Lytechinus pictus: one gene and its partners. The protein of the gene in region 1 purifies or fractionates together with the protein of each later gene. This does not show direct contact. Links are inferred from orthologs where the notes say so. Each region holds a gene or a part of one and is shown on either strand. Other genes may lie near its edges.

Evidence for each region.
Region 2: the proteins of SWI/SNF-related matrix-associated actin-dependent regulator of chromatin subfamily A member 5-like (region 1) and inorganic pyrophosphatase-like fractionate together in Drosophila melanogaster (co-fractionation; 4 studies listed by BioGRID, with this or other methods). This does not show direct contact. The link is inferred for Lytechinus pictus from reciprocal best matches to the Drosophila melanogaster genes Iswi and Nurf-38.
Region 3: the proteins of SWI/SNF-related matrix-associated actin-dependent regulator of chromatin subfamily A member 5-like (region 1) and nucleosome-remodeling factor subunit BPTF-like purify together in Drosophila melanogaster (affinity purification with western blotting; 7 studies listed by BioGRID, with this or other methods). This does not show direct contact. The link is inferred for Lytechinus pictus from reciprocal best matches to the Drosophila melanogaster genes Iswi and E(bx).

What each region holds. Positions count from the first base shown.
Region 1 is NC_087249.1:49,687,604-49,695,256, reverse strand, and holds the start of SWI/SNF-related matrix-associated actin-dependent regulator of chromatin subfamily A member 5-like, read right to left. Parts: upstream 3,078-7,653; 5' UTR 3,025-3,077; coding exon 2,947-3,024; intron 1-2,946.
Region 2 is NC_087262.1:17,331,498-17,338,474, forward strand, and holds the start of inorganic pyrophosphatase-like, read left to right. Parts: upstream 1-3,956; 5' UTR 3,957-4,165; coding exon 4,166-4,364; intron 4,365-6,727; coding exon 6,728-6,789; intron 6,790-6,977. UniProt on the Drosophila melanogaster protein: Component of NURF (nucleosome remodeling factor), a complex which catalyzes ATP-dependent nucleosome sliding and facilitates transcription of chromatin.
Region 3 is NC_087254.1:2,980,423-2,988,239, reverse strand, and holds the start of nucleosome-remodeling factor subunit BPTF-like, read right to left. Parts: upstream 3,088-7,817; 5' UTR 3,062-3,087; intron 2,698-3,061; 5' UTR 2,477-2,697; coding exon 1,050-2,476; intron 604-1,049; coding exon 398-603; intron 1-397. UniProt on the Drosophila melanogaster protein: Histone-binding component of NURF (nucleosome remodeling factor), a complex which catalyzes ATP-dependent nucleosome sliding and facilitates transcription of chromatin.

The DNA of each region.
Region 1 (7,653 bases):
CATGCAAGGCACAGTGTGCAAGACGATTGATTTGAGACTTGAAGTTAATTTCACATGTTTTAACTAGATTATCTGAATTACAGTGCACAATTACGACATGGAAGACCATTGGGATGGATTTCAAATATAATATGTAAGTGAGTTGATAACATTTGGTTTTGCATCTTTCTTTTTTCAAGTTGTTTTGAGATCGAGAATTTTTTCTTTCATTTTAATCATCATTTCTTGTTTCTTGTCTGTCCACCGCAATTTTTTGTAGTCCTATGTTAAATGTTCCCCTTCAGTACACTGATGCCTGAAAGTATGAATCCGAAAAATGCACCCCCCCCCCCGCGTTCATCCTTTCTCTCGATCCCTAACAATAACATTAAAAAGGATAATAACATAAGCTGATACTAGATAGAGTTTTGACAAGTTATTAAAGTCGTTTTTTTTTTTTTTTTGGAGAGGCGGGGTGGGGGGGGGGTGATGTAATTCCCATTCCCCCCCCCCTCATTTTTTGTTTTTATTCGTGACTTGATATCCTTGCCTTTACGTGATTTCCTATGCATGCTCAATCCTTGAAACTTTACATAATTTTAAAATATTTTTACAGATCCATAGTACACCATACAGAACTTTTTTTAAAGGAGCTAGTCTCAAGTTTGTCTCTCTGTTTTGTTTCCTTTTCTGTGAGTTCCTTTCTTCTCATTTTGTTCCTCTCCTGTACTAACTTTACAACCATTTGCTTTTGTTTTTGCTCCTCTAGCCTCACTTTTTTCCCAATTTCATTGCATTCATTATTTTGTTTTCTCTTTCATCTACAGGAAATTTTTGTAGCCAGGAGGCTGTATCATTTGATGAAAACATCAGTTTGGATTCGACCTTACCACAGAAATGTTAGGGGCCCTATGAAGCATTGCATCCGCTCTGCCAAACTGCCTCTCACCAGAGATATTTGTAGAACTACACGATGCACTTTCTGCAGCAAGATCCAGCTAAAGTTGTGATGAACTAGCATATAATAGATTTCTTATATTCATAACATTCATCATTCCAGTTCTTAATTGATATTTCAAAAGTTTAATAAATCACTTTACATGCATTTAATATATTTCTTATATTCATATCATTCATCATTCCAGTTCTTAATTGATATTTCAAAAGTTTAATAAATCACTTTACATGCACCATATTGAGCTGTACACTGAATCTTGCCTCATAAGATCATTTGGCTTCAGCTCTACATAATACCCCCCCCCCCCCAGCAATAAAAAATGAAAATCTAATAAAACAATAGAGCTGCAGGCAGTAGCGTACCTAGGATTTTCCACAGGGGGGGGGGGGGGGCAAAATCGTCCGCCCAAAAATTTGACAAGCAAAAAAGTCTTCAACCACAAATAAAGGATTTCGTACTTTCGGTCTTAAACTTCAAAGGAGGGGGCCACCGGTGGCTCATCAGGGGGGGAGGGCAGGGATACGTCCCTTGCATGGGTTGTGACTCGTCGGGGGGGCAGTCTGCCCCCCCCCCCCATAGGTACGCTAGTGGCTGCAGGTCCACCCACCCACCTGTATCAACCATTACCTCCAATGAGAATACCTAATTTTAAATTTTATTGAGCAACTTCATTAATACTGTTAAAATATCCAATTTATATTTTTATGTGGAGTTAATTAATGTAACCAATGCCAACAAGGAAAAAAAATAAAATGAATACTTTCATGTGTCAGTGTGGATTTGTCATTTCTTTTTAAAATTTATTTTAATATTCAGATCTGTATGTGTATCCTTTTTCAACACTATGTTCCTTCTCTTCTCTACTGCATGTGCCAAATTGTTTGTTTTTTTGCTCATACTTCTTAAATAAATCATGAAAAAATTACATAAAGTCTAAATAAAAATATTTAAACAGACATACAAGAAAAAAAGTGTTAGTTTGGGGCGATAGAAAATGTTAGAAGACAGTTGGGGGGGGGGTGAGATAAATCAATTGTTTCTTTCTTGTCAATTTAAAAGCTGCAATTCATATTTGTGAATAATTAAGTAGTTGGTAGAACAATTCCTGCTTAAAGTTGCAGTCTGAATGGAATGCAGGATCGCCAAGAACAAAGCCCAGAGGCAGAGGTGGGGTTGGTTTTTTTAAGGCGGCATTTCCATCACGCTTTCTTGGAACCACAGATATTCGACGGCTCATGCAGCCCAAGTCTGTTCATTGTTGGGCCCCTCGACTTCAGATCAGTAAGTATTGCCATGCTCAAATGGAGGTAAGAAATTAATCTGAATGAAAATAAAAAAATGAAAACAAAAGAAAATTAAAATGATAATGAATTAAATTAGATCTAGGCCATTCATTTTTAAAATAATAAAAAATTTAAGTTTTATTAGGCCAAAAGAAATCATGTTACATGAATTTTCAACAGAATATAATCATCAAATAATAAATCAAGACTAAAGTAAAGGCTAAAATTAGGTTCGAGAAGATTCAGAAAGTTGTTGCGTCATTTGCCATTTTTTTTCAATATTTTATTCAATCAAAATGAATGTGTCAGTGTGGGATGTATTTCTGATTTCTACATTTGTGTCTGGTTTTCAATTCCTAATTTATAAAAAAGAAAAAGTTTTTTTAAATCAAAGAAATACCAGACATATCACGGTAGACGGTCTGCTACACAAATTCCAATGCGCAGGACTACACACCGCGGGCAACCAAAAACCCTAGCAGCCGCCATAAATTAGCCCGCGAAACGCGTCGCCAAACTTCCCACGAAAATCCCACGAAACAAATAGCAAGGGCGTTTAACATTCGTCCGTGGCAAATGGTGGCAAGAAATGCTGCCATGAATGAGGTAAGAAATGAAAGCTTACGACTTCAATTTTCGAGTAGCATATGTATTTTTAGCGTAATATGTCTGATAATTCCATGAAAATAACATATAATGATGATTTGATGCATAAACTGTACTTACAGACTGTTTTAGTGCAATTTTTGTTCCGATCTCGACCCTCCGTCGCAAGAGCTTACCGTGCAGTATAGCTGAATGCATTGGGAAGATGATGTCATCGTTTTCATTCCCATTGATATACGTTTACCATCCTAGACAGGAGACTCAAGTAGGGCTTGCCGTTATTGCTCGCACCGGCTCCCGAAGCAGCTTGTCGCCATTTTCGTACGCGAAAATGATGACGCGAAAATCGCGCCCTCTCGCGCTAGAGTAGCGTACCTATCTAAGAATCAGAAAAAAATTGACGTCTCCTATCAGTACTATCATCATGACTTGAGATGACATTGTTCGCTTAGCTGTAACAGCTACAGTACTCTCCAACAACGGCAACATCAAACTCTCAATTTCATCAATGTCAACAACATCTTGTTATCAGATTCAGTCATCACAATTCTTTTGTTCAGTGTTTATCATGTCAAAACATACATTACACCCAAACCAATACATGGGACCGACCAAGACAAATGAATGAAAATGACGACGGGTAATAAAACGCCGCTAAGTTCAAGACCAAATAAAACAAACTTAAACCGACAAAATTAAACAATAATAGCATCATCATGGTTAACAATTACTTACCGGGTTCCCAAGGGGTGAAGGGGTGTCTTCTCTCTCCTCTAAATCAGCCATTTTTGCACGAAATTAAGGGTACTCGCGTGCAAATTGCAAAGGGAAACCACCAGATGACCTGCAAATGAGCGCGCGCAATTCAACGATAAACAAAAGTATCGTTTGGTAAGTATCGCGATCAGTCAGAATGTCAGTGGGAGAGAGAGATAGGGTTGCAGGAGAAAAATAATATTTACAAAGTCATCCAAAGGATTTTTTTATTGCTCGGCATGTCTTCAGTGTTGTATGAAAATTCTCACAACATAACAAATTGGCAGAGTAATTAAATGTTGTTGTGTTAATTTGCACCCTTTTCACTTTTCAGGGGATTTTTGTGGGGGGGGGGGGCACTCGACTAAAAAGTGGTAGGGGTGTGCCGCGGGCGAGACAAAAAACGGGGGCCTTGGAGCGTGCTAATTGTAAATAGGAGGGTCCTCAGAACGGGCTTCGGAACTATACGGGGGGGGGGGGGCGTTGTACATGTCTACTAAGATTTGGTTTGGAGGGTGATTTAAGGGTAATTTTGGCAAAAAAGTGTACCCAATATTAAGAATTTTCTCCCAATCGAGAAAAAGAGAAATTACTCAAGATCGAAGGAAGGGGGGTTGTTCATTGAATGATTTTAGAGCGGCACATTCCCGTATGCCGAGTATAATATCTGCTGTTCAATTGTGATAAGCAGTCATCTCCTATGAATTCCATTTAAAGCAGCGCTGACAAATCTATCACACCAAGATAACCACAAAATAAGAATTATCAATTAAATAAGCATCAATATTCACACCTGAATGTTTTCGCATTAAAACCCAAATAAACAACCTGACAACAACAACAACATGCATGCTCTGAAAATTTATAATGACATTTTCGGGGGAGCTATACTCTCATATTGACGTCACAAATATCTAAATGTTGAAATGTGAAATTGGCTATACGGTTATTGGTCTTACAGAACTGGCTTAGTTAAAAAAAAATGAATAGTTTTTTTTTCTTCAAAATTCCTTCCATGGATGCATTCAAGCATCCCTCTATGCTTGACATGGACTAATAATTATTGATTATGTGTTCTACTATTGCTCAATAATGATGCCCATGGCCATGGGATCATTATAGTCAATAATTCTATAATGCCTCTGAAGTTCCGACTTTGCAATTGTTATAATTTCACAGTGCATTATCTGATTGGTTAGCATAACATGAACGTGACAAGTTAAGTTTTTACTGGTTTATGTTGATGTAATTTTTTTTTGAATAATTGTTTTGTTTAACATAATTATTTTCGATAATACCGTCAGATCAGGGGAGCGTTTCATCAATATTTTTGTCTGACAAGTTGTCAGATCTGACATCTTTCCTTTATTCTGATTGGCTGACAAGCACTGCACCTATGGTAACTGTCGGATAAAATGGGACTTGGATAAAACGTCAGACATGTCCTTTCATGAAACACTCCCCTGGTCCATGATGTTCATTTTTTTCCTATTTAGCTCAACACATGCATGGTTTTCAATAAATGATATAAATGCTTGTATGTATATGCCTATAAAGGACAGCTAGAGGAATGGGTAAGTGTGGGCGGTGAGTTTATTTTTTATCGGAATTATTTTATTGCAATAAAAGATGTCATGTTATTATGCAATGTCTCCAGGAACTATTTTAAATTGATATATTCATACTGCAATGTGATGGGGTTATATTTTAGATATATATATATATTTTGCTCAACCCTCATGTGTGCATGTAGGAATAATATATGGCATTTTGTGACTTATAACCATATTGTATAACCTGTTTATAGAAACAACTGATGACATGGAAATTGGAATTAATGCAGTACTTAAGTCATTTTTTTATCAATATGTATTTACAAATGTATTTTTATCACTTGTGTTCCACAGCGAGGCTGTTGGTTTTCTTGGAATAAACTCTGATACCACATACCAGTCTGGATTTTGCCTTCTTTCACAAGAAATTCATAGCTCTTTTTATTCCTTGAAGGATCATCATAAAATTTTTTTTTATAGGAGTGCCGATATTTTTCTGCAATATTTTTGTCTGCTTTTACATCAAACCCAATGTAAACTGGTTGTCATCAGGGTAAACTTCTCTGTGGTGGGTTTGCAATTAGTTACATGCAATTTTTTTTATATGCAAATTCATCTTCACTCAACTTTGCAATGACGGTATAGGCCTATTTCTTCCCATATCCCTCCAAATTAGGAGGTCATCGGAGGTCACCTAGAAATCAGCATCGCCACCAATCACCAATGAAGAATTCTCACCTTTCATTCAATCAGTGAGCGGCAACTCAGCTTTGACGGCATGCCCATGCATTGGCCGATGCATGTACAAAAAAATCTGGTTTTTTTTAATGACACTAAAGAAAATTGTCACAGTTAAGACTGAGAAAAGGGATCTCATTCCGAAAAGATAACACTTTGACCACAGTCACCAAAAGAAAAAAATACTGAAAATTACCCTTTATTCTTACCCCCTAAAATAACATTAGCAACGAGAATAATACTTCCCTTGCTTATTTCCGGAATCCGTCAAAAAGAATCCTTATTTTGGCTCACCAAAGCCTGGTACGACATCGTTTACCCTCCTCTTGATCTGTGCCTGACTGCAGTCTAGCTTTTTTTTTTTCCAAAGCCTTCAACTTTTCATTTAAAAACAAAAATTTTGCCCTTATAAAAATGCGACTACCGAAAGTGGCGGTCTTAGGTGCCTATATTGTTCAGAACCAAATACTAGTAGGTCCTTGGTCAAAGCATGGACCTATTACGACCCATGGTCAAAGTATCGAAAATCGCAATCGAATGTAAAAACCGCTATCGATTGTGAACAGCGCCATCTCTTGTTATCCTACACAAAGAAAACTCGCAGTTTACTTTTTCATGTAAATTACTACAGTACACGCAGCGCACTGCATGTCCATATAGGCCAACTCATGCAGCAAAACAAAGAATTCTAAAAGTTATTTTTGATGATTAAGGGTCATTCTTTCCGGATTGATCCTTATTTATTGCCCTCATTCAAAAGCCAAAGATTTCTTTTTCATTGTCAATATCTCTTTGGTCTAGGCACATTTTAGCACTATAATTTTCTTCACGGTGAAAGTTGTTTTGTATCAATTAACTTTCCGTGTTCTGATGGCCGTCATATAAAATCCGCCAATCCGCCCTCTCCTTCTCACCCTCTCCCCTGTCGGAATTTCTTTCTTTCTTTCTCTCTCTCTCTCTCTCCCTCTCACATGTCTCTCAGCTCTCTTTCCTTCTCTCTATTTTCCCTTCTCTCACATCTCCGAACCCGGCCATCCCGGCAACCCATCACTTTGATCCCATCCTGATCCACCCCCCCCCCCCTGGAGAACAACAACAACAACAACAAAAACGGTACAGGAAAGGGGTGAAATGTGATATTAATTGTTCAATATGTCACACTCTATCACAAATTGGATGTTCATTTTAAAGAGGCTATTTTTTTCCACATTATGCCCCCATCAAGTCTGTTTTGGCTCACATTCGCGGCCACTGCAGAAACAAAATGAAGAAACCAATATTTAAAAAATATACACACTCACACACACAAAGAAAACAATAAAATCACATGTACATCAAATTCATTTATTTTTTTAATAAGAAACTTACACTTATTCTTAACCATATACGATCTTCCCGTACCTGCTTACAGAGTAACAATTATTTCATTCGATACAAATTCCCCCACACGTTCAACGCCGTTTACATCATATTGGAAGACTACACAATCATGTTGGATAAACTTTAATCGACCGTTAAAAACCCGTTTTGTTTAATGAAATTGTTTAAATGCAGCATATAGTTGCTATGTCATATTTTACATTTTTGTATGGGCTAATATTCTCATTGCATTTTGCTTTCCCCCATAATCGGTTTATTTCATAATTCATTTATTTATTCATCGATTCACTACGTCTTTTTCATGTCATCGTGACTTCGTCAGTGGTCTTATTGCGCTGCTTTAACATGATGAAGTTCCCTGAATGATTTATAATAACAAAATACGAACATTTAAAACAAA
Region 2 (6,977 bases), on another chromosome or scaffold:
CGCGATAAAAGTCAAATTACAACCGTTTGCAAAAACTTATATAGGCCTACGACTATATTTGCAAATAGGGCAGCAACTGCTCGCGGAAAAAGGATTTCCAAAGAAATTTTGCAACAATGAAAACTGTTTATGATTTTTTTTTCTTTCTCAAGCTTTTACGAATCCTTTGCAACTCTAACGTTTGCGTCCTAGCTGGCAATACCTTCTCAAAACCTGCATCGGGGTGGGGGGGGGGGGGTACTCGCGTGTATATCGCATAAGGGGATTTGCCGCAGCTCTATAGTTGGTCGTTTTTTGCAACAACAAGAAAAAATCCTTAGACATGGGTCTTGCTATATTGCAAGAAAGCCATTGGTCCTATTTTGCAGTTGAATAATCCTTAGACATGGGTCCGTTTCTGAAAAAAAAACCAAATATGCCTATACTTATACGAATCCCCGGGAAAAGCCCCCGGAAATGTCTATGTTAGTCCCGGTCCAGAGTACGAGTAGCCGGTACCCATGGACGAGTAGATTCTACCTGTATAGTATTTCCACATCTTATTACGATAGCAATGGGCACCGGGGTACGTCACTCTAGGCACACTCGGCCGACCATATACAGTAGGCCTACCCTATATAGTGCATGCGTGCAGCGCATGCATAATTAATTATTGTTGTATTGTATTTATTCTACATTCATAAAAACATGCAAAGTACGAACAAAATACATCAGATATAATTACAAAATAAAATGAATACATATGAATGGCTAGATTGCCCACTCACATTGGTAATTATTACCACTCTGTTCTGCCTAGGGGTCCAGAACGTAATAAAATAGATCAAATTGTATGATTGCAACAACAAGTGTTTGTAATGGCAAATTTTCAGGTTGGAAAATCCAAAATGTTCAGCTTTTCTGAGCACTTCTTTAGAATCAATTTGTAATAATGAAAACTTGATATGCGGCCTAACTTATGTTTGTATAATTTTTCGAAACCGGATATTCTAAGCTTCTATCTATTTAATTTAACACTCAATGCGTACGTGGAATTGTTTTTTTCCCCCAAGTCTTCCCCTCCACTTATTTCATCTACTTGTCTTCCTCTCCTTTCCATTTTCCTTTCCTTTTTTCTTGTTTTTCCCTCTCCTCTCCTTTCCAGTGGCGTAGCTACGGGGGGCCCGTGGGGCACGTGCCCCCTGAGATTTGGTGTGCCCCCCCCCCCAGGTGCCCCCCCCCCCTGAAAAAAAATTGGCAGAGCCAAAAAAAAGAAAAGAAAAAAGGAAAAGAAGAAGAAAGACAAGAAAAAAAAGAAGAGGAAAATAAGAGGAGGAAGACGAGTGAATGAAATAATGTGAAGGGAAGACTTGCAAAAAAAAACAAATCTTTCATGTTACTTTACAAAACTTTTGCTTGCGCTTCGCGCCAGAATTGCCCTTTCGATGAGATTCATATCTTGCTCAATAGGCTGATATGGAGCAATTTTTTAAGTCAATATACGAAATATATTTTAGCTCGTACATCGAGCTTTCATCTTTTTTTTTTCATTAACAAATTCAAGTGCTCTAGCTGTAAAATGTCACTTTTATATAGTCTACATATCAGCATTTTTAAGCTCACGCTGCGTGGTCAAGTTGTTTGATTTGCCAAGTTCCTATTGTCTACGTGTATTCCATAATGTTCCATTAAACTAATGTATTCATACTGCCCAGATTCTAGGTCTTAATCTAAAACATGCGCGATAGCCTGCATGTTGTGTATATTAAATGTACTTAAATTATCCAGTTTCACATCAAAATATCAATAATTGTCTGCTCACTCTTTACGGTCGCATTATTAATGATACCCAATTAACTATATCCTTTTTATGATTTACAAAATATGAATAGAGTGTCCCGCTTTTAGGTCTAAAATTTCAATTTTCTTCCTCTCGCGCTTCGCGCTCGCATCAATTGTTTAGTAACATACCTATCCCATTTATTAATACAAAAAGTGCTTAGAATGACAATTTTTTAGGTCGGAATGTCAAAAAAATTTGCTCGCGCTTCGCGCTCGCATTATTGAAATATATACCGTCTTCGTGGGTAACTGTAAGCAGTCCTTAACAGGTCCCTTTTCGATAATGCTAGAACAGTTAATAAAAATTTCTGCTCGCGCTTGGCGTTCGCAGTAACCATCTAGTTACATACGAATCTTGTTCAGGATCACACATAACATTGCCCAGAATATTAAATTTTCAGGAAAAAATACATGAAAGTAACAAAAAAATCGCTCGCGCTTCGCGCTCGCACTTTTTATAAGGCTTATGAGATTATTTCATGTTTTTGTTGTTTTATAAGAATAAAAATAAGAAGTGACTGATCGGGGGAAAAATAGGTGAAGATAATTTCGGGCCCCGTCCCCTATTGGCGAAAGTCGGATCCGCCCTTGTGACACATACACACACAACGGAAAAAATTGTGCCCCCCTGAAAAAGCAAGGACCCCCCAGTGCCCCCCCCCCCCAGGAAAAAAATCCTAGCTACGCCACTGCTACTTTCCACTTTCCTTTCCTTTTTTCTTGTTGTTCCCTCTCCTCTCCTTTCCATTTTTCTTCTTTCTTTTTTTATACTTTGTCCCCTCTCCCTATTTTCATTGGGCCTTGAATGTGTTTCGCCCGGGGCACGCGCCCCTGCTCCCTTTCAAAAATCCTACGTACGCTACTGTCTTCTACCCCCCCCCCCCTAGAAAAGGCCTACTATAAAAATAAAAATAAATGTCATTAGGACTAAATTGACACAGGCCACAGTAACATTTCACTTTTTGGGGAAGTCTTCTATTTTTTTGTTTGTTTTTCAGTGCTAAATGCTTGCTTGTCGATTTTTTTTTTCTTAAATGGTACGTAGGCCTTCTCCAGGCTGAAAATAATGTGATTTGAACAGACAAATAAAAATCCGACAAACAAAGCACTCGAAATTTTATGAAAAATGGACAAGGAATAAAAAATTTATGACATTTTAGATATTCTGATAATTTCTGTAAAACAATGAATATTATGCATGTCTTCACGAATATTCAATGAGCAATCTGATATTTCCACGTGTTGTTTTGTATTTTATAACATAAGATCTCAATTCATTCGAAGTGTGACCTCGAAGAAAAAAATGGACTGGCAATTGATTTAATGCATTATAGATATTCATCACTGCAACTTATTTTATCATAATTGATAAGGGTGCCATATCATGATAAACACACAGACAGACAGAATAGATAGATAGATAGATAGATAGATAGATAGATAGATAGATAGATAGATAGATAGATAGATAGATAGATAGATAGATAGATAACTGGTTTATTGATTAAACATCATTGAGGCATAGCCGAATTGCGATGAGTTTAAATAGGCATGCATTACATTCATACAAACATAATAATACAAAAGGAAACATAATAATACAAAAGGAAACATAATCACGTATCGTATATTCACAATATCATAAAAAGGAAATGCATTTTAATTGTTATAGATAGGGCCTCATGCAATGGAAAAGTATATACGAACTTTCTACAAATTCAATTTAAGTATTGGACCATATGAAATCACAGAAGGGGAAAAGCACTGCATGTAGAGTGCATAAATCATACATGTATAGTCAATCACAATTTTACATAAAAAAGAACTTTACTATAGGGTTCATTTTGAAAGTCCATTTACTAAGGCGCATGGGTAACTCTGCGCTCGATCGATCGGATGCCCCTGCTCAAAACTTGCATCGGCTCCTAGCAAAAATGAAATCCTGATTTGAAGGGAAAATATTTTATTTCTCTTTGTATTTTTTGCGGGAATTATGATATCGGTCATTTGGTGGCATGATACCACGTGCATCAATATCACTGAAAAATACCATGCACATGCATAATCGCAATAGGGGGGCGTGTCCCCTTTTTTGTTATGAGCGAGCGGCATGCAGATATATCGATTGAAGGAAAAAAAACACCGGTAGCAGTTCTTATGAACTTTAGACTTTGGACTTTGAACTTGGATTGCAAATCTGTACATGCAGCCAACGGATACATGTGGAAGAACTGCACAGTTGTACTTTGGACAGAATAATATCACAATCAAGATTGTCAATCATCGTTTTTATCTGCAAAGATACCATTAATTAATATCGGCGCATGCGTGTAAATCTGTCCACATGTTGACTCCGATCCTCCGTCGTGTCCTCTCGGCTGCTTTTTCCCAGAGAACTTATTCCAAGATCTCTTTTACTCGCCATTCTCGACCTCGAATAGATTTGTCAAAACTTCAGTTCAGTGACTGTCGAATTTTAGCGATGGCTTATTCAGTTGAACCCAGAGGTGCACCCAATTCGCTCGACTACCGTCTGTTCTTCAGTAAGTACCTCCTACGGCTACGGCTCTTCTCTGCAGCAGTGAGCAGGTCGTCGGAATCGCGGCCAGGCGTTGCCCATCCGGGCGGCGTCAGTATCTTGAGTTGACCGCCCACTCGCTCAGCTCAGGAGGCCGGAGGCGATTTGTCATTGACATGTCGGAGCTGGAGTCTGAAACACAACTCACCTGTGGCAGTGCAGAGTCCCACTTAGCCAGGACTGAGGCTCCTAGACTAGAGAGTGAAAATCATTCACTAACGACTTAACGTGTGCTTACTCTCCATGGATGGAGCTTGGGAGTGGGATTGCGTCCCATTCATGTGCGTGTACCGCGAAAAAAACTGAAATTTTTGCCCCCAAGGCCAAGTCCAAGATTTATATTTTCGTTCTAAAAGATCTAACGTTAGCCCTAAATCATGTAAATGGGATACAACTTCATTTCCGACATTTATATGACATTGATTTCATTTTCAAACAAGAATTCATTAAAAAAATGAGAAAAATATTATGAAAAGACGGAAAAAACCTGCCGCGATCGCGATGTTTACATGTACGTCGCCATCTTGTTTCTTTTTGTTCTTTGTCAAGATACATGACGCATATCGGATATGCGTCTTGTATCTTGGCAAAGAACAAAAAGAAATAAGATGGCGACGTAAACATCACGGCAGGTTTTCTCCGTCTTTTCATAATATTTTTCTTGTTTTTTTTAATGAATTCTTGTTTAAAAATGAAATCAATGTCATATAAATGTCGGAAATGAAGTTGTATCCCATTTACATGATTTAGGGCTAGATCTTTTTTTGTTTTAGAATTAGAAGGAAAGGAGAAATCTCAGGGCGAAATTTTCAAATTTCAATTTTTTTCGCGGTACATGCACATGAATGAATGGGAGGCAATCCCTGGCTCCGTGGTGAGTAAGCACACGTTAGTGACTGACTTTAGAGAGTAAAAATTTTCTACTCTCTAGGAGCCTTCTGGCTAGTCCCACCGAACTTATCGTGCATGCTGTATGTAGTGTTCGTGAATTTTGCAAAAAATTTAGTAAAAAATCAAAAATGTAAAGTTTCAAAATTTCTGGGGAGGGGGAACTGCCCCCCCCCCCCCCCAGTGTGTATGATGTGGTTCCAAACTTCTCAGACTTTTCAAAAGTATTCATTAGGCTTAAATTTGTCCACAAAATATTCACAATTTATAAAAAAACCAAAGAAATTGTTAGGGCCTATCACGGCAAGATCGTAAACGTTTGCCAGTATTGCGATCTCAAAATTCTATTCCGATCGAGGAATGCGCGCTTTGGTGGAAAACCGTTCTGAAAAAGTGTGACCTAACTTCGTGGACCAAAGTTTTTGTGGAGATTTAAATAAAAACTCAAGCTCAAAAGGTGAGATATTTATATCAGATTGATGACAAAATGCTATAGAATTAGTACCATATTGAACTCACATTTTTTTATGATATCTGCTTGCAAACAAAATGATGATATCGTGATGCTTGTTGAGAATATCAAATTTCTTCGGAACGGGCACTAAAGGTGACAAATTTGCTGATCTTTTGTCAATATTTTCGTGAATACTGAACTCATCGTAAAAAAAAACTTATGCCAAAGGGTAATTTCAGGTCGCTTTTCACGTTGATGTCAGATTTTAAGGATATTGGCTAGTTTTTTAGATAGTGACCGTTTGCGAAGTATGGACACACAAAGTTTGGAATCACTGCCATACTGTGTATGGCCATGCACCGCAGTGTCCCGGAGATCAAGAAAAGGGGGGGGGGGGGGTAGTATCATAGCCATAGGAATAAAGGCTGGTGTAAAAATAAAACTGTAGACTGACTGTACTGTAGGAAGGCGACAAGTTGTAGAAAATAGTTGGTGAACTGGGCCCGATTGGAGGCCACATGCTTGCTGTTTATGTTACGTTAGGGAGAAATGAAAAAAAAAATGTCCTAAACATGATATTCCCCGCCAAGTGTGATATAAATTCCATGAATTTCCTTTTTTTATGGAATATGATAAACAAATTTATTTATCTTGTCAAAGGAGTTGAAAGGATCGCACAAATGAAATCAATTTCAGAATTTTGAGAAAATTGCATTTTATATGACACAAGATATGGAAGAGCTGATTGTCTTTCTGTGGCATCATAAGATCAAAACTTTGTAATATAATATTAGATTGATTTTCATAAAACTTTCGCCAATTGAAATTTTTCTCAAATTTTTCTGTTTTTATTAAAATCAACTTATCAAGGCAGACTTCTTACAAGTATCAATCATAAATGTGGACTCTTATTTCTATCCTCTACACTTCAGCTTAGATACCTATTTAGATTTTTGGTTTTCCTTCTTTTTTTTCTGTATTTCTAGGGAACAGCGATGGTCAAGTGATTTCACCATTTCATGACATTCCACTATATGCTGATAAAGATGTAAGATAATTATTAATTCATTTTTTCTCTCATTTTTAAAAATTTGTATGATGACCTTTTTTTTTGCTCTGTGTTTACATCATCATAAATTTACATATCTTTTATGGTTCTCTTTCTTACATCATGCCATAGCCCATCTATTTTCCCACATTTTCTTGTAAAAAATATTGATTCTGTGATATTTACAA
Region 3 (7,817 bases), on another chromosome or scaffold:
TACATGTAATAGCCAATGATTAAGCAATAAAATAATGCATTAAATGAGGAATCTGCTATTTCAGCCACCAATCACTACAGATATTGTAAGCCAGCAGCAACAGCAAATACAACAAATGAATAAGCTCTGAGTGGCTGTGAAGGCAGTAGGCTGCTCCTACTTCTCTACAACCATGCTTTGTTGAGCTTCTCAAGATTTTTACCCTTCACAGAAAATAACAGCTTCACAGTCTAATAGATTAAACAATAACCTCCTCTTTAATTTGGTGCTACTTATGAATTTTGTTCATAATTCCTTTTTTTTCACTTTCTTTAGTTAACATAGGCCTACTTTGATTTTAAACAGAAACTAGTTGAAATAAAACTGACAAGCTTTACAAAAGACAGCACCAACCAACCTGTTGACTTCTGAAGCACTGACTTCTGGTTACCCCTTGCGCTGTTGGTCAGCTCCTCTGTCCTCTGCATCTGTTCAAGGATCTCTGCCATACAATCCTGCAGTGCAAGACACAAGTCCTCCTCCCACTTTGTTGCATCCAAAGAATGCATCAATTCTTCAAATTGAAGCTTGGTGGAGTAGTAATATAGCTCGTTCTCACCTTCACTGCATATTTTAAAAGATAAATAGTATCAATGATTATGATATACTGCATGCAAACTTTAGAGAAATAAACCTCCAGTGGCAAGGGTACAGTGTATAATGTTTATCTCATGTCCAATGCATGTTTGACAAATTAAATTCAATAAGCCTTATGTTTATAGCCCATCTCAAATTTACAGGGAGGGGAGATGATAAGTGGTTGGTGGGAAATTTACTTCTGAAATACACATATTACACTTCAAAGGTTTAAGGCAAAATCTATTTCTTATTTCTTCATTATTTCAAAGTTAAATCAGTATAAAAAGGAAATGCATTTGCTCTTAGTTATGTGCCTTCTTGTTTTTAAGACTGAAATATTGTTTACAGATTCTCAAAAGGTCACACCCTTTATAGCCATCAATGTCTAAAGTTAATGGGAAGAAAGACAGATAGTAGGAAGAAATACTCACACAACAATTCTCCTAACAAAGTGCCAGTACTTTCTGCCATGCCTGTCATAACCCAAGGGTTCCTGTCGAATGAGGAGTCCACTCTTCTCCACCTCTGAGATACAGTCATAGACACCAAGAACGCGATGCTGCCTGCACACCGAGCACATCCAGTCTTCCTCTGGTACTTCCACCAAATTCACACATTCCAAGTGATAAACGGCTGAACATGTCTCGCAACATATTAAATCTCCCAATTTATGACACGACCTGCAATGGTCGTCATAGGTTATTGCACCTTCACTCAGAATCTCTTCACGCACTCTGTTCGATGCCAGGAACTGGTCGCAAAGGAGATGCAACACTGTTAATTTGTCACTCACAGGAGCAAAAGGGTAGTTTTCTCCTTCTAGAGCACTTAATGCACCACGGAATTCTTTGTCACTTTCAACATACGCTCTTGCAACTTCAGACCACGTCATATTATCTAGAAACAAGAACTGGACATTGATACTGTCTCGCTGGTCTTGAGGACCAAACGTTGTACTGCTACTTTCATCTTCCTTCACAAGATTGTACAACAGAGCAATGTGGGTTTCCGCTAGGAGCAAACATTGCTCTTCACTACACAAAGCTGCACAAAAATCCTCAAAACGGAATGGAGAGAGTCTTAACTGTTGACTGAAATGCCTAAGAACTTCATACACAGATAGAGCATTCATCATATCCTCATTGTCGATAAGGAGGTCTGTGCTAGATTTTGGAAGTTCAATTGGAGGAATTTCCTCTGGCTCTGCCTCCAGGAATGGCAATGCGAAAGGCCGATTTGTCCGTGAAAGTAATAACCTCTTCTTGGCAGCCGTGCTGCTGTCGTCACTGTCGTCTTCTTCTAGTTCTTCTAATTCATCATCATCTGGTAATTCAGACTGCGAACTATTTGAACTAATCTCATCTTCTGACGAAGATTGCAACAATTCCTCATTGAAATCAACTCCCTCTTCATCTGAACTTTCATATTTTGGCCTTGCCTTTTTTCCTTTCCCTTTCCCTTTTGGTTTTGATTTTGCACCCGGTTTACTCTGTGTTGTGGGAGTCTTACCTCTCCCTCTCCCTTTTCCTGGCCCCTTTCCAGTACTTGTTGTGCTACTGCTTGATGGACTTGCCTTAGCCTGGGGACTTCTTTGAGCCTCTATGACCTCTTGAATTAGCCGCTTGCTCCGCCTCGCAGCTTCACGTAATCTCGGGGATCTCCCTCGGCCAACTGCGCCGGTACTGCTGGCTTGACTTACCGGTGTGCTACAGCGAGAACTTGCAGGACTGGAGCCGTTGCTCTGGCCATCATTGCCCCGTCCAACTCCGGCTCCTCCACCAGATTTCTTTGCATTTCCCGGCGTCTCGTCCAATGAATCAACAAGTGACTTAGGCGGACGTCCACGTCCCCTCGGCATCTTGAAATACAAATTATCGGCTGCTAGCGGGTGCCTGGTAACCTAACGCACACCTAACTTAGGTTTGAGATCCACAAGCTTCGCGGTGAAACACGATTTCGGCATTATATTTACGAATCGCACGCAAGTTCTGCACTGTCCGCCATTTTCTGATGTAGATGACCACGTGACCAATTATGCATTCAATTACCGCTATCGCGATCGATCGCTCGGCGAGCCCCCTTCATGCCCAAGTACATGTTTACAAATACCCAAACATCATGACAAATAATACCTCTAAATTCATAAATGATTGACTGCATCTGATCTACATGATCTAGTGACAAACGTCTGAAATTATAACAAATAATGAATTTTTCATTCCAACGTTATTCCTTTCCGATTATGCTTTCCTATTGGTGCGCGTTTAGTCTGCATATGTGCCAATTTCCCAATTGCATTTTCCAAGCAAATCTGATGCGTTATCCTCTTAACTATGAACCCCGGGTCACAATTATCTAATTTGAACAAGATGTGGCAAAACTTAAGATATAAATTGACGGTGACTACAAATAACCTATTTGCTACCATTTATATTTATGAGACCTTGCGGGGAAACACCTTTCACAACTGATTGCTATAAACCAATCAGCGGTTTTGTTTCATGAACTCGGCCACATAACTTTGCTTGCGGGAGAAATTCAGTGAACTATTTTTTACCGCGTTAGGCGGATGAAGTTAGCAATGATATTGGTAAATCGGTGAAAGGACTACCAATTTGATGAGTGTGAGTCAACCATAGAGATATACTAATAACATCTCTATGGAGTCAACGTGATTACGTACATACAGATCAGTGATCTAATAATGCGAGTTCAAGACAGCATCAGCAATTTAAGAAGTGGTTAGAATTTAGATTGGTTTGCAAAAATTCACTCGAGGAAAGTGACGGTGTGATCTGCATCCAGAGCAGTGACTTGTTCACAGATCGAACTTCAGCGCGTTGTTGTTTTTGTATTTTCCAGTATTTTGCATTGATCTTAATTATGGGATTCTAGCATGGGGAAATGCCTCTCAAACGAGACTCGACAAAGTATTTCTACTTCAGAAAAAAGGAGTACTGAGAAATAATACTTTGCATTCATATATAATACCAGACAGTCAAATGACTATCACTTACCTAAAACAACAGTATTTTTGAGCAAGAGTATATTTTTCACAGGACCAAAAATCAGGAATTCTTTGGACAGAGCATTTATAAAAGAGGCATCTTCTCTGAACCGATTTAAATTACTCATCAATTTATTTTTCTGAATTCATACTGATTTAATCAAATATCCACGGAAGTGTTGATTATTTTAAAGTTACTATAATTTTGTATATAGTGAATATACATTCGTGTTACAGTGTCTAAATCTATATCAATTTACAGAATTTTGCTGATTATTTCACTTTATTCATATCATACATTACCCTCATTGTATATAATTTTGATAGGAGGTCTGCATCTAAAGCTTTGCTTAAAGTAGGCCCCTCCACTTTTTAAATTTTTTTCAGTACGTTTCAAAACTGCACATGCAGATGATTTATATTTCTACTGTAAATGAATATGTACTTTGAGAATTCGTGGAATATGAATATATCAATAAATAAATAAATAAATGAATAAATAAATAGGCCCCATGCATAGAGGTGGATATGTTTGTATTGCATTTAGTTACAAAACTAAAACAACGCGGACGAGACGGACCGTGGAATGGTTTCGATAAAAATTTTATCTAAAATTGATGTGAAGAGTTTGTGAATTAATACTATCATCGATTTCACTTCACGTAATCTGGCTTTTAATTACACCGCTACATGTTGGTATTCTTAGGTTTTATAATATTAATAAGTGTCATGTACAACAAGTGTAATTACTTCATATCCTCCATCAAATAAGATGATCTATATTCCGTTGAAGACTGGTGTTTGGTGACCCTTTTGTGATGAACCTTCTAGATCGTTGTTATTGTATGCTGTACGTGTTTCTTTTTGACATATCACGCAAAATCCGCTCCATTGTTTACTCAGGTACAACGTTGAAAATCATACTCCTAACAAGTTACATAAAGTACAGATTAAACCAACGTTTGACATGTTGGAACACTATTGAATTATTCCTTTCACTCTAGGGTCTTGAAATGCCAGTATGCAACAGAAGCCCCTCCATCCAGTCGTTAGACTGTTAGAAGGACTGGTTCATTTTTTGAAGTGTGGTCGCACAATACATGATTGTTATCCTTTTCGCAGTTTATACAATCGTTACATGTTTCTTTATCATTATGGGTATTTGTCTAAGAATGTATGCTTTTTCTTTAATACACGACATTTGGTCATTCTTTCTCCTCCTTGCTGTTGTTTCTACAATATTCCTTCAAATTATATCTGCCGTTTTAATCTGTGTGTGATCTTGGGGGTTTGTGGGGGAGCATGCACCACCCTTGTTAGGTTTTGAATTGTACACAAAGCGATTTACTGCAAAGAACTTCTTATGCAGAATTTTCTTTTTTCATGCTAATGTATCAAATTAATTCCTCCTATTGTCTTACTTTTGGGAGATTCTTACACAAATGGTATATATGAACATTATTTACATATTGGACTTATTGATACATATCCAACACAATACAGTATCAGATGTTTATCATTCTTTCGTTTTATTTATTTTGATTGCTGTCCCAATCTTTTTATATCGAAGTATCTTATCGTAATGTCTATTATTAGTTCATTTGCTATGCTTTGCGATTTAAAGGGCTTGCATGTTCCTCCAATAACCTTTCAATTGTCTCATTATTGCTGGTGCTTGTTGGTTCTTCTTCCACCTCATGGAAATGTATATACATGGAAAATATAGACGCATTTTACGTCTTCCCTCGAAGGGTTAATGTCTGTAATATTGCCTAAAATACTTTGCTTATTTTGTTCCTGTTATATAGTCAGCTCTGAATATTCTCCCTCTTTTTATAATTTGAAGGTTCCTAGGATTTAAGTGCTACTGTATATTTGTTTTGTTTTTGTTTTTGTGTTTGTCGTTATTTGTCTGTATTCGTATCTGTCATTCTCGTAATATCATGTCTTGTGTTATTTCGTTTAGCTGATCTGCATACTCCTCCCTATCTCTGGAGATCCCCTAGACATCCTTTGTGATGGCTGTAAACACAAATTTCCCATTTTCTGATATAGATAATGATGAATTACACGATACTTTCCAGGCTGCCTTTAATTCGAAGTTTGATGAACATGATGAATGTAAAAATTCTGTTTTTCATGACTCCGTAGCTCAAACTCTCAATGCACAAGCTAATCTTGATTCTCTTTCTGATCCTAATGATAATACGTATCAACATACCCCCTCGCTCTATTTTACTGATAAACAGATAGCGTCGAAACAACTTGACAACAGTAACTTTCTAATGCTACATTGCAACATTCGCAGTGCCAACAAAAATTTTGAATCACTTCGTTCCCTTTTATTGAATTCTAAGCTCTTTTGTTCTGTGATAGGTTTGTCAGAAACGTGGTTTTCCCACTCTACTCAACTATCCTTTTATACGCTGCCAGGTTATAATTTGGTCACAAATAATAGAATAGGGAAATCAGGTGGAGGCGTTGCTCTTTTTGTATCCCAACAATTCGATTACAGGTTAAGGCCTGATCTTACTCTAATGAATGATGCTATTGAAACACTTTTTGTTGAAATTCTTATGCCCAACGACAAAAATATTCTGGTTGGAACGATTTACAGGCCGCCTAACTCCTCCCACGATGACTTTTTAAATACATTCCATGGGTTATTGGCACTCCATGAGATGGTCAATGAAACGTGTTTTTTACTCGGCGATTTCAATATTGACTTACTAAAATACGATACTGATACTTTTGTTCAAACTTTTTCGGATGTAATAATGACAGCAGGTTTCCTTCCTTTGATAACCAAGCCAACTCGAATCACAGGTACATCGGCTACTCTCATCGACAATATATTTACAAATACCAGAAGTACTCTCTCTACGGGAATAATTCTTTCTGATTTGACGGACCATTTTCCCATATTTTCGCATTTTAAACTAGATACCAACGCCACTGAACACAAAGTTGATCATAATACTCGACGTGATTTTTCTGAAAATAATATGAATCTGTTCAATGAAGAGTTAGGAAATGTTGACTGGTCAGGAATTTACAGTATTCAAAATGCCGAGGATGCATTTGACGCTTTTATGAATAAATTGAATCCATTAATGAATAGCTCTTTTCCCGTAGTGCGATTCAAACGCTCTAATTACAAAAAGGTTCCAAGGTCCCCATGGATTACACCTAGCATTTTGCGCTCAATAAACAGAAAGAATAACCTTTACTTAAAAACTATTTCAAAGCCTTGCGACAGTAATAGAAAAAAGTACACTGACTACAAAAATATTCTGACAGGTATACTGAGAAAATGTAAAAAGAATTATTTTCATAATCAATTTGACCTCTATAGAAACGACGTTAAAAATACATGGAAAGTTATAAAAAACGTTATACAAGGTAACTTCAGAATGTCTACGCCCACGAAAATAAATGTTGATGGTGAATTGGTAGAGGATCCCTTTGCCTTGGCAAATGTTTTTAATGACTATTTTGCATCCGTAGGCCAAAATCTTGCCAGCACAATCCCTGCCTCTTCTAAACACTTCACATCTTTTCTTAATGTCCCTAATCCAAATTCGATATATTTCACACCAACAGACGTAAAAGAACTAGCTGATATAATTTCTGGACTAAAGAATAAAATGAGTTCAGGATGTGACGATATAAGTAACATTCTCCTGAAAAGAAACCTGATACACATTATTAAACCTTTGACTTATATCTTTAATTTGTCTCTTTCTACAGGAGTTGTACCTTCTTCATTAAAGCAAGCCCGAGTAATCCCCATTTTTAAAAAAGGCGACAACACCGTGTTGGGAAATTATCGCCCCATATCATTATTGACATGCCTTTCGAAGGTTTTGGAAAAAGTAATTTTTGTACGCACGACAAAGTTTCTTAATATACATAAATTGTTTTATCCCCTGCAGTTTGGTTTTCGCGAAAAACATAGTACTACTCATGCCCTGTTGTCAACGATTAATAAGATTGCCAATGGAATTGACAAGTATGAGCATACTGTTGGGGTGTTCCTGGACTTCTCCAAGGCTTTCGACACAATCAACCATGATATCCTTTTATACAAGCTTAATTATTATGGAATCAGAGGGATAGCCTTGGAGTGGTTCAGGAACTACCTCAGCAGTAGGCAGCAATATGTTTCCATAGCAAATGTAGATTCCCCTCC